Caenorhabditis elegans: one gene and its partner. The protein of the gene in region 2 interacts with the protein of the main gene of each other region in a pairwise test. Each region holds a gene or a part of one and is shown on either strand. Other genes may lie near its edges.

Evidence for each region. Proteins that work in one complex are often made in the same cells at the same time.
Region 1: the proteins of pak-1 (region 2) and spc-1 interact in a two-hybrid assay, tested with the Caenorhabditis elegans proteins (one large-scale study listed by BioGRID).

What each region holds. Positions count from the first base shown.
Region 1 is NC_003284.9:3,124,062-3,128,672, forward strand, and holds the start of spc-1 (Spectrin alpha chain), read right to left. Parts: upstream 3,001-4,611; coding exon 2,798-3,000; intron 2,745-2,797; coding exon 2,660-2,744; intron 1,683-2,659; coding exon 1,557-1,682; intron 1,505-1,556; coding exon 1-1,504.
Region 2 is NC_003284.9:6,043,791-6,050,307, forward strand, and holds pak-1 (Serine/threonine-protein kinase pak-1), read right to left. Parts: upstream 4,815-6,517; 5' UTR 4,809-4,814; coding exon 4,728-4,808; intron 4,569-4,727; coding exon 4,490-4,568; intron 4,442-4,489; coding exon 4,335-4,441; intron 3,787-4,334; coding exon 3,639-3,786; intron 3,591-3,638; coding exon 3,376-3,590; intron 3,332-3,375; coding exon 3,239-3,331; exon of another isoform or gene 3,090-3,238; intron 2,973-3,089; coding exon 2,405-2,972; intron 2,355-2,404; coding exon 2,281-2,354; intron 2,227-2,280; coding exon 2,104-2,226; intron 1,492-2,103; coding exon 1,420-1,491; intron 1,263-1,419; coding exon 1,104-1,262; 3' UTR 519-1,103; downstream 1-518. UniProt on the Caenorhabditis elegans protein: Required for hypodermal cell fusion, together with cdc-42 and ced-10, leading to embryonic body elongation, which involves dramatic cytoskeletal reorganization.

The DNA of each region.
Region 1 (4,611 bases), 2.9 Mb from region 2:
CCTTAAGCTCTTGCTCAAAGTTGATGTGCTTTTGGAGTTTTCCACGAATGTTGGTAGGATCCAAGTAAGAATCGTCACGAGCGGTGGACAGTTTTTCAGTGATCCAGCTAACCATCTCATCACAGTCACGGTCAAATGTCTGGCGCTTGTAGCTTTCCTTGAGAGCATTTCCACGTTGACGAGCTCTGTCTAGAAGACGACGACGACGGTCAAGAAGAGCTTGGCGTCTCTCGGCAACATCATCAGCAGCGTAATGCTGTCCTTGAATGAGCTTGGTAGCAAACTCGTCAAGTGCATTGATCTTCTCCTCTTGAGCAGCAAGCGATTTCTCAAAGTCCTCGTGTTTCTTGATGAGGTGCTCGACAGAATCTAGTGAATCTCCCAAATCAGTGTTGGCAAGGAACGCTTCCTGCTTGTTCATCCAGGTTTCGGCTTGTTCAGTGTCACGATAGAAGAGTTGGAGATCCATACATTGCTCGTAGAGAATACGACGTTCCTCCCACAATCCAAGAAGAGAAGACTTCTCGTGGTCAAGTTTCTCGAGCTTCTCCTGAACTTCTGGACTCTCTGGAATTCCCATCTCAACGAGCTTTTGTCCAGCGGATGCAGTTTGGTTGAACGAGTCAGCACGAGCATCAATTTCTCCCTTGTGTTCTTGATGACTTTCAAGAAGAGCTTCAGCGCCAGCCACGTCTTTTGCAAGCTCATCAGCTCCGATGACAGCTTTCATGTCTCCAATCCAGCTAATCAAGTCACGGTAGTCGGCCAAGAAACGATGAAGCTGGAAGCTTCTCTCAAGTCCATCTTTGCGGTGTTGAGCCTTCTCCTTGAGTGCATTCCAGGCGGCTTTGGTGTCATCGTTCTTTTGATGAATCGCTTCAGCACGATCTGGATGAGTTTCTGCCAACTTATGAGCTTCTTTCTCCAATTGGAGCATCTTTCCTTCAAGAGCAGCAAGATCACGTTCAGTTCCTTCATGCTTGCGTTGAAGAGCTTGAACATTATTGAGGTCTCTTCCGTAATCATCGCTTGACAAAGCAAGATCCTTCTCTCCAATCCATGCAAGGGTCTCGTCTGCATCGCGATTGAAGCGTTGAACTTGATGAGCTCCAAAGAGCCCTTCCTTACGAGTGGCCGCCAAAGTGTTCAAACGATGCCAAGCATCATTAACGTCATCGCGCTTCTTGTAGATCTGATCGTGCTCAGAGTGTCCCTCCTCGACAAGTTTGTCAGCAGCTTGATTGATCTCATTGATTCGGTACTGATGGTTACCGAGTTCTTTCAAAAAGTCGTCAAATTTACGCTGAAGTATCTCAACGTGTTCGAGATCCATTCCCATGTCTTCTGCGGTGACATAGGTTTCCTTCTCTCGAATCCAGTAGAGAATTTCATCGCATTGACGAATAAAATGCAAAAGTTTAAGTGCTTGTTGTAGCTTAATTCCCTTATCCTTCAGTTTGAAGAAGAGCTTATCCCAGAGGGCGTGCAACTCTTCCAAGCGTTTCTGAAAATAATTAATCATCAGACTGTCAAATGTCTTTAGTGATTTTAAGTACCTTGATGTGTTCGCTAGCGAAATGATTGTGTTGGATCATAGCGTTTCCGGTCTTGTCGAGGTTGGCGATGGTCTTAGCGTGAGCTTGAACCTCAGCTTCGAACGCTTCATGCTTCTGGATCTTGGCCTGAAAATGTTTTATGATTTACATTTGATCATACTTTCATTTTGATGTAAAAAAATTTTCTCTTTCAATTCATGCTTCAAAACTAGTCAACTCTTACTCTCATTTTTTTTTCAACCGCTAAACCTAGCAACAGAAACATAATCGCCTCATCTATCTTCTTACTCGTCAGTATTACTTATCATTCCAGGCATTACAGGAAACCGGCGGATCAAGTCAGGTCACGTCAGTTGCGATTACGCAGTGTCAAGGCCGTGTACGAACGCCCGACTTTTTATAGATTCCCGTCTATTACTATATGTATTCATCTCATCTTTCGATCGGAACGCATGATAAAAAACGGCGGCGAGGATTAATTGGAACCCCCACAGGAATTTATTGGGTTTTCAGTGTGTTTCATTATAAGTAAAGGTGAATGATATTAGGAGCAGTAAAAAATTGTTTCCTCAAAGACTTTTTAACTCCTAATTTCTAGCGCTCATATCTTCCAAAATGACGATATTGTGTAAAAAGATTTCATTTTCATCTTTTCTGCTTCCCAGAAAATAACTAAGTTAGCAAAATTCACATGTACTCCTCTCTACTCGAGCCAATTGTTTATAAATGTAATTGTGCACTACATTGCTTTCAGTTCCTAATCTTCAAGTGAGCATGCATGTTGGGGGTCGCAGATGCGTTTCTCGAAACGAAGGCACAGAGAAAAGCGCTGAAGCGAACCACTCAAATCAATATATTTTTGCTGCTGCGCCTTTGTCGTTGCTCCCAAAAGACATTTGTGTGCCCCCAAACAAGGCAGCAGAAGAAAGGGGTCCGAGTGTCCCCCCGAGGGAAAATGAACCAAGAGAAAAGAATTGTGCGAGTTGTCGTCAAAAAGGATTGAGAATGGAAAGCTGGGGACCAACCACAGAAAATTTATGTTTTAGATAACTTTGAAATAGATGATGAATACGACTGAGAAATAATGAGAAGATGGTACCAACCTGGAGATTGCTCGGATCTCTGAAGTTTTCTTCCTGAGCTGTCTGGAGCTTTTCAAGAATCCAAACGTTCAACTCATCAGCATCTCTTTAACAGAAAAATTAGAATTCTAGACAACCCAACAAAATTTTAGAACTAACCGTTTGAAATATTGAAACTGACGAGCTTCCTCGAGACGATCTCGTTTTGTCTGCGAGTGATCCTTGAAAATTGAATAGTGACCTAATACTTCCTGACGACGTTGGTGAATGTCATCAGCAGTCTCCAGAATACGAATCTCCTGTGGTGGCGGTACTTCTAGCACCGGCTCTGGTGGAGCATGAGTGTCATTCGAATCAGCCATAATCTTATTTCGCTGAAAAACAATTGTTTTAAAACCTCCATAGAAATGAAAATGAAAGAAAGTTGATTATGAAGAGACCGTAACAGAAACAAATGAGCAAATAAATGAGAAGAATGTAACAAAAAAAATCAGAGAGAGCTTTAGAGGATAAATACAACGTGGGAACAAATAATGACGAAGTGCGGAAAAGAATCACCTGGGAGACAAAAAATAATAGAAAATGGGAAAGCTTGTGGCTTTAATTTAATAAGCTTATAAATTCTACGAATGAAAATTTACCAAGAAAGTGTTACTCAAAAAGTATATCATGTCAAAAGTAATTTTAAAAGGTGGTTCCATTTCCAGCCCACACAACTGTCAACATTTTTGAACTGATAACAATATTTCGATGAGTCAGACTAACTCCGACTCCGCCGTTTACAAGCTGTGTTGAAATTGAACACACAGCTGTCAGAAACAGAAGAGACATTACAAAAAAGGGGTTTTGCACAATGCAGCAAATTTTGAAAATGATGAAACAAGAAAGAATATGCTCTCAAAGTGAAAAAAGGAGATGACTTCAACTGGTTCAAGTACAAGAAGAGCTGGCAGCTATCGATCGCCCAAAACGACCCCCGCGTCCACAACACCAACACAAAACCGAATGCAGAGAACGAGAGAGTGTGGCTAGAGAAGCAGAGACAACAAGAGGGGAGACGACTGCAGGCCTGGACGCGCTCGTCCCGCTCAGCCTCGCACACAGCCGCGCTCTGACTGCCCTCACACACACTCACACACACACACACTCACAAAAACGCACTCTTCTATTAAATGCCAGCGATTTCCTCTCAACAGCACACAGTCCCTCACCGAATGCATCATCCTCCATCTCTCCAGTTACTCGCAGTTTGACTCTCTCTCTCTCTCCGGGGTCTCCGCCAACACACACACCACCGACCACACATTTATGTATATATTCGGAGATGGAGTATAAAGTATGTCCTCCAAATATTTGCAAGTTTCACTGATGTGTTGTCAATAAAATTGGGTAATCGATTTGGAACGGAAGAAGTGATGATGAAAGAGAAAGTGACAGAAATTATTAAAACGGGAAGCGGGAAAGCGGGAAGGATAACCGAAAAAACATAACTTCAAAATTTGGAAGTAAAAGTGAGTAAATGAGCAAATTAGAAATTTCTTTGCACAAAAGAATATTCGTTTTAGTTTAAAAACCACGATACAAAACCTCCAAACTCAAATAACTACATCCACTTACGCTAAACAACTGAATGATTTAAAACAATAGGGGACCCCATTCTATCAAATCTAAAAGCATCCACACAAAAAGCCGAAAAAGGGATTCTTCAAGGGCTTTTTTCTTAAGTGACATGGTCAAGCTTTGGTTCATAACAAAAGTGAGCAAACACCGGAAACGGGGAGCCGCGCCAAATCTGTCAAGTGCCGGATGGAGGCCACCTGCGTTCGAAAACTTCCTGCGGACACATGAGTGAAGGACGGCAATGAAGGAGAAGGAAACACAAATGAAAACTATTAGTTCTCTCTCGTTTTCGAGTTCGTCACACTCTGAGAAGAGGCAAAGAAATTCGATACAGCTCGGGGCGACGTTTCGTT
Region 2 (6,517 bases):
AAAAAAGTGGCATTATAGCACTATGAAACATTTGTAAGCTCCTGAAACTTTCAATCACTATTATGGTGAAAAATATAGTTCCAGAATACTCACAGGGATTATTCACATATTCAACTTGTTATGTGACTTGATTTTTTAAGTTTTGCTAAAATATGTTGTGCGTGTTCTTGAAAACCTTTAAAATTATCAATAATCAGCCTGACAACATTATCAGCCTCTGGAGTAACTTTTGTGTCCTTTAGCACAGTTGCTCTCAACAAAGTTCAGATATACCTAAATTGTGGTGGTGGGAGTTGAGTTGTGCTGCTGCAATTACTAGAATAACTATTTCTAGAATAAAATATATAGTCTAAACATAATCATTCAAATGAACTATTTATCATTTCTAATTTTTGAGGTAAACTACCTTATACCATGTACCTGGTCAGGAATAATAATAAATAATTTTTCAAAAGAAAATAGTACAATTTCCTTGAACAAAATTTGACTATTTTGAAAACTTTTCTGATTCTATAAGTAAATTCATCTCTCTTTTATTAAACATGATCAATTGTTTCAAACGTCATGAGACAAAATTTAAGATTTTGACCTTATGGCCGATTTTTAAATTGGAAACCACATGAAAACAGAGTTTCAATAGTTCCCACCTACAGACACTTGAAAAAGAAATAGGGAAATTTGGGCAAAGCTGGTTAACTGTAGATTTCCGTTCGAACGACACAAATGCAAGAAACCGAATGAAAAGAAGACAAAGTGAAGACAAAAAACTTACATAAATAATTGAAGTGTGTCGTCTGATTGGGAACGCTCAACAACAAGAAAAAAGAGATAGTCCAAATTGTGCATTGCGAGAAGAGATAAAGAGGGGGAAGATGTGAAATAATGAAGGGGCTTGAATTTTTACTCGTGATCGATTCCAGAAAACATTACACAAATTACTAAGGTGTGACTTTTTTGTTGGGAAACGGTAAGTTGGGCTCAAAGTAGATAGTTAGAAATGACTTGAGATGGAGAGAAAAGAAAACAGTTTCAAAGTAAGTACGACTTGAGATTTGAGAAGAACAAGAAATACACGTCGTGTATTGAGAATACAATCATCATAATTATGAGTTGCTAGCTTCGGCGATGCTCTTCTTCGCCGCAACGATTAAGTAGTACAGTGAAGCAAGCGGTTTGGCGCATCGGAGGAATGGATGCGTAAGGAGTTGGCTTGCCGACCATCGATTTTCAACTTGTACTTCCAACGCAGAGTCGACAAAGTCCTGGAAATTGGGACAGAATGGGAGAAATTGATACTGTACTGAAAGTAAAGTAAAACTGCGGTAGCAGTTGAGTCATCTTTTGTACATTTGTGACTAACTGTTAACAAATATTTTTTTTATCAAATCTTCTGTTTCGAAAGTTCTCGAGTTCTCTTACCTTGAACAACAAAGTCATGGAATCTCTTCCAGGGAAGTCGGGTTTGCCATTTGTAGCAATGAGATAGATAGCCTGAAAAAAAATATTTTTAAGATCAATATTGATTGATGAGAAATTTTAAGCTAAAATTATAAAACCTAAGTATAGCTGAAACAACTTTAACTTTAACTTTCTCGTCATTTTACAGCAACTTCTCAACAACGTCTCAATCTTCTCAACTTAAGCGATTTTTCAACAAAGTTTACCCAGCTTTCGGTAGTTCTCAATGCACATCTGTATCTTGCGGTGGGGGTCATCCCTAACTTTTACCAACTTTACCCAACTATTGCAACTTTTGAGATTGGTTGCTAAAGTTAGCTGAGAAGTTACGGAAAAATGTAAAGTTTCTGCTAAATTTTTTCTTAGGCGCCTGTTCAATAACATGACCTCAACCTGAACCAAATTATTTTCTGATCGTTATGGGCAAAACTGGGGTTGCTATTCTTACTAGGGAATAGTGGCCAATTAGATTTTTTTGAAATTCATTAAGCAACAAATTTATCGCTGTAACAACAAATTTCCATTTCTCATTCACACTCTGCGAGCACAAGTGTTATTGAAAGGAATCATATATTCAGATTCATGTTTTTTTTTTCAATTATCAAGCGTTGTCTTCTTAAATTCAAAAAAGCAAATATTTCATACCCTGAGTGGATTTTCATTCAAATATGGCGGTTCTCCTTCGACCATCTCAATCGCCATGATTCCCAAGGACCACACATCAACCTTGGGTCCGTATTGTTTGCGGGTCACCACTTCCGGCGCCATCTGCAATTGTCAAACATTAATTTCCTATTCGCTTTTTCAATTTCCATCACTCACCCAGTATGGAGTTCCGACCATTGTCGTGCGTTTTCTTTGCTCCGGCGAGAGCTGAGCACAGAATCCAAAGTCGGCTGAAATTCACAGAAGTAGGTTGCAAAAGCATTAAAAATTATAATCTTACTCAATTTCACCGAACCATCCATTCCCAAAAGAATATTGTCAGATTTAATATCTCTGTGAATGACGTGGCGGCTGTGGAGGAATTCAAGCGCTTGAAGAACTTCTCTGCAAACAGCTGCAATAATTCCATCCTCCATCTGGCACTCCGTGACAACATCAGTCAATGATCCACCGGCAAGATACTCCATCACTACCCATAATTCATCGCACACCAAATACGAATCCAAATAATTTACAATATTTGCATGCTTATTCTCACGCATCACCAAAATCTCATTAATGATCAATTCCTTCTTTGGTTGATCCTTCAGGTTCATCTGCTTGATAGCCACCTCCGCTTCGGTACTAATTTCAATAGCGGTGTACACAGAACCAGATGCACCTGAGCCGATTTTATCAACTTTTCTATATTTTCGATCTGGATTTCCGATAGACACAATGGTACGGAGCTTAGTCAGCACTTCAGCGTCAGTCATCTTTTTCTTAGCTTTTTGACCTCTGGCCTGTACACCAAATTGTCCTTTTGAAAGGTCTGGAATTTTTTCTTCCTCCTCTTTCGGTTTTGTGTACTGAAAATATACTTATATGTTATAGAGAACTTGGGAAAAATTCGGTACTTGTGTATTACATGCCCTCATTTTGAAATTGAATTAAATTTTCATTCATTTCTCCATATAATTTAAACGTGATATACATTTTTCCTCTCCAGGCTTAGAAAGATTATTTCCTAAACCTAGAAATAAAAAATGTGGTACACGTTTTTATTGTTTTTAACTTAAAAAAATACTCTAAAACTAAGGGCATGTAATACACAAGTACCAAAAATTCTACTCACAATACTCAACGTCCTTGCCGGCCTATCAGGGATAGCGGGAGGAACAATATCAGCAGGAGTTTCACCATGGGGGACCGGTGGCGGTGCATAACTCTGAAGCAATCAATATGAACTTCAAGATTATTCTTCCCACTTACCGGTGGCATACTCGATCTATTCTCATTTACACTAAACGTCGTCGGAGGAACTCCTTGCTTGCTGTTATACCCCGCACTACTTGTACTGGTTGTCATTGGATTCATCTTTCTTGGATCCTGAATTTTATTGCCATGATACGGCAGGGATGATGTGCTATATGGTTGCGGTTTCAGTCCGTATGATGGCGTCCGAGAAGGTGCGTCATCTATAAACACTGTAGAAGAATGAGCTCCATTAGCAAGACTGACTACGGGTTACTTACTCATATCGTACTGCAACCACTTCTGGCCGCTGCTTTCGCCTTGTGTGTAGTATTTGAGCGCGTCCAACACTGCCTGAGGATTCTGTTGCTGCTCTTGTTTTGAGATCTGTGAGTCTGTGAGAAGACGTGCCCATGCTTCAGGCATTCCCTGAAAATTTATATTGTTGATAAGGAGCAAAAGTTTCTGAGAAAAGTTTATAAATAAGATTCTACAGTAGTTTCTCAAGTCTATTCGACAAAACAGACCTCTTCATACTAAAAAAATTGGGACAATTTCATAGGTCTTTAGAAGAAACTATCTTTGGTTGAATACATGTTCGTGATAATTGGCTTCACTTAAATTTTTCTCGTATGGATTTGTTTTCTTAAAACGTCTCAAAAACGCAAGCTTTATTAACACTAACCATGGTTTCAAGAATAACACGTTTTTAGAAGATAATGCACTGAATTAACGGTTGCAAAATATTATTATAAATTGAGATTTGTTTATAATGATTTTTTGACTGAGGGAAAAAGTAAAAGTAGTAGTTTTTAGTTTTTAGCTTACTATTAGCATTCACGTTAATCTGGTACGATTAGCGGTTGCGACCGGTGTCAGAATGACAGCTGTATCACTCGTTCATCATTGGAAAATAATCTTGCAAGTAACGCAAGAGTGGGAAAACTGCTACAAAAACTTTTTGAAAAAATACTGACCGTAAATTCGCCGGTTTTTGGGTCATATCCGACATGAATTGTGTGTTCGAAATTGCTCGGTCGAGAGATCACTGGTTTTTCTGACGCTTCCTTTTTGTCTTTGTTCTCTGAAAAAAACAGGAAAATCAGGAATGGTTACAAGAGCAATATATTACTTTTCATGAACGGGTTAGGCATCGTCTTCTTTTTCTTGGTTGCTTCTGGCTCTTTGGGCAATGGCTTCAATCCGACGACCTGAAAAATTGAGTTAGTCAAGACATGGAGAATGGAAAAAAGAGAAATAGAGATGGGTGGGAGAGGGGCAAGCAACACATGCATCATCTGATTTGGAAGAAGAACCTTCGAAAGATTGTCGCCCATCTTTGGGGAGGAGTGGAGGGACGAGTTAATTACCTGATTCTCCCTCGTTGCCGAGCTGCTGAAACGAATTGGTGGTGCTGGTGGTTTCTCATCATACGATGAGAAAGCTTTCATTTTGGCAAGCCTGGAAAATTGAAACTGTTGGAAAAAGAAGACACAAGCATCAAACCAAAAAAGAATGAAGGAATACAGTATGCAATGTAAAACTGAAAAAGGAAAACAATAATTAGGAGGAATTTTCGTTGTCAAGTGAAATCGAAACTGTTGGAAAAATAGGAAAATTGGAACCAATATTCATGTTTTGTTGAGTCAAAAAAACATAGAAAAACGATCACAATAAAGAATCAGAAAAAGAAAGAACAAATTGCTGACCGCCCCCTTATAAAAAAATTGTTGGACTATGACTAACAAAAGAGGAAATTGATAGGAGCGGGCAGGGAAATGGATGCACAACACATGGTGTAAAGAGGACATTGACCCAGTGCTATGAGTAATCTTGGACCGAAAAAGCATGGCCCTTTCGCCTTTCGAGGTCGTCTATTGGATTGCTTTTCTATATTTTTTTAGTAATCTCAGGGTAGGAGTTATGGAAAATGTGGGACCCAGAATTTGACCTTTTCTTCGGAGTTCTCATTTGCATTATTGCTTCAAAGAGCCTATCTGCAACCAACGTCTGACGTGAGTTTGACCCGAAAAAGATAGATGGCTTTTTGGTTTTCAAAACGAAAGATTTCAAAGTTTAGGAGATGATGGATGGTGAATAAACTGGGCCAGAGGAAGAAGAAGGAATATTTTTCAAAGGAGAAAAAGAAGAGACGGGAATCTTTTTTAAAGTGTGATGATATGAGTCATTCATGTTTCACTTCATTTTATCGCCCACCACCGTGTGTTCGCGTACTTGTTTCCCGCTTGTCATCCAAGTGGCAATCAGCCGGATAATGTTCTAGAAGTGTGAAGCCGAAAAGAGTAGAAACTGTGAAACGAGGTTCGGAGTGAGTGACAATGTTGAGAACTAGTTTAGGAAATTAGAAAGTGAAAGCCGAAAAAAAGCTGAAAAGTTTGCATTCATACTAACGGTGAATGATGATACTTTTGGTCTAATACTATTCTCGATTAAAGGAGGGGTATCGGTTTTGGGTTTTTACTTGTAAGCACTCAAAATGTTCATAAAGGAACAAATTTAATAATGAGACCTCATAAAAATCATAGGGGGTTGATTGTGGCCATTTTCAATTACGTATGGGCTTTAAATGTACATTCATTAACAAAATAATGTAAGAAAATCACCAATATGCAATAAAAACATTCTAATCTTCAAAATAAATTTTCCAACAGCTGAGACATGAAAAAATAGCCAATTTTAATTAAAATTAGGTGTTTTTAAAATTTCAGACCGCCATAAAAAATTGTTGAACATTTTTTGAGAATCCTCATTACATAATCTGTTAATTTGGGAATATTTACAATCTAGACCTGCAAAAACCCAAAGGAAAATCACAAAACCGAAAGAAAAAAAAAAAAGAAAAATGAGAAACAAAATCTAGGTATCTAAGATTTTATTACACTGTCGATAAGAAATCCAATCTCATTTTGCACAATGTAGAAAAAAAACAGTTCGAAACCTGGACTGTTTGCTAGAAATGGAGAATGGCACTGTGTTTGTTGAACGCGCGCCATTTTCTAGTGTTATCAATTGAATGGAGGAAACAGAGAAAGATAACTAGTACGGTGGGTCGCGGATGATGCGGCCAAGGCAATTGATAAAGAGCTGCGGAGGGGCAAAACGGACGGATGAGGGGAGGATGTCGTTGGAGATAAAATCA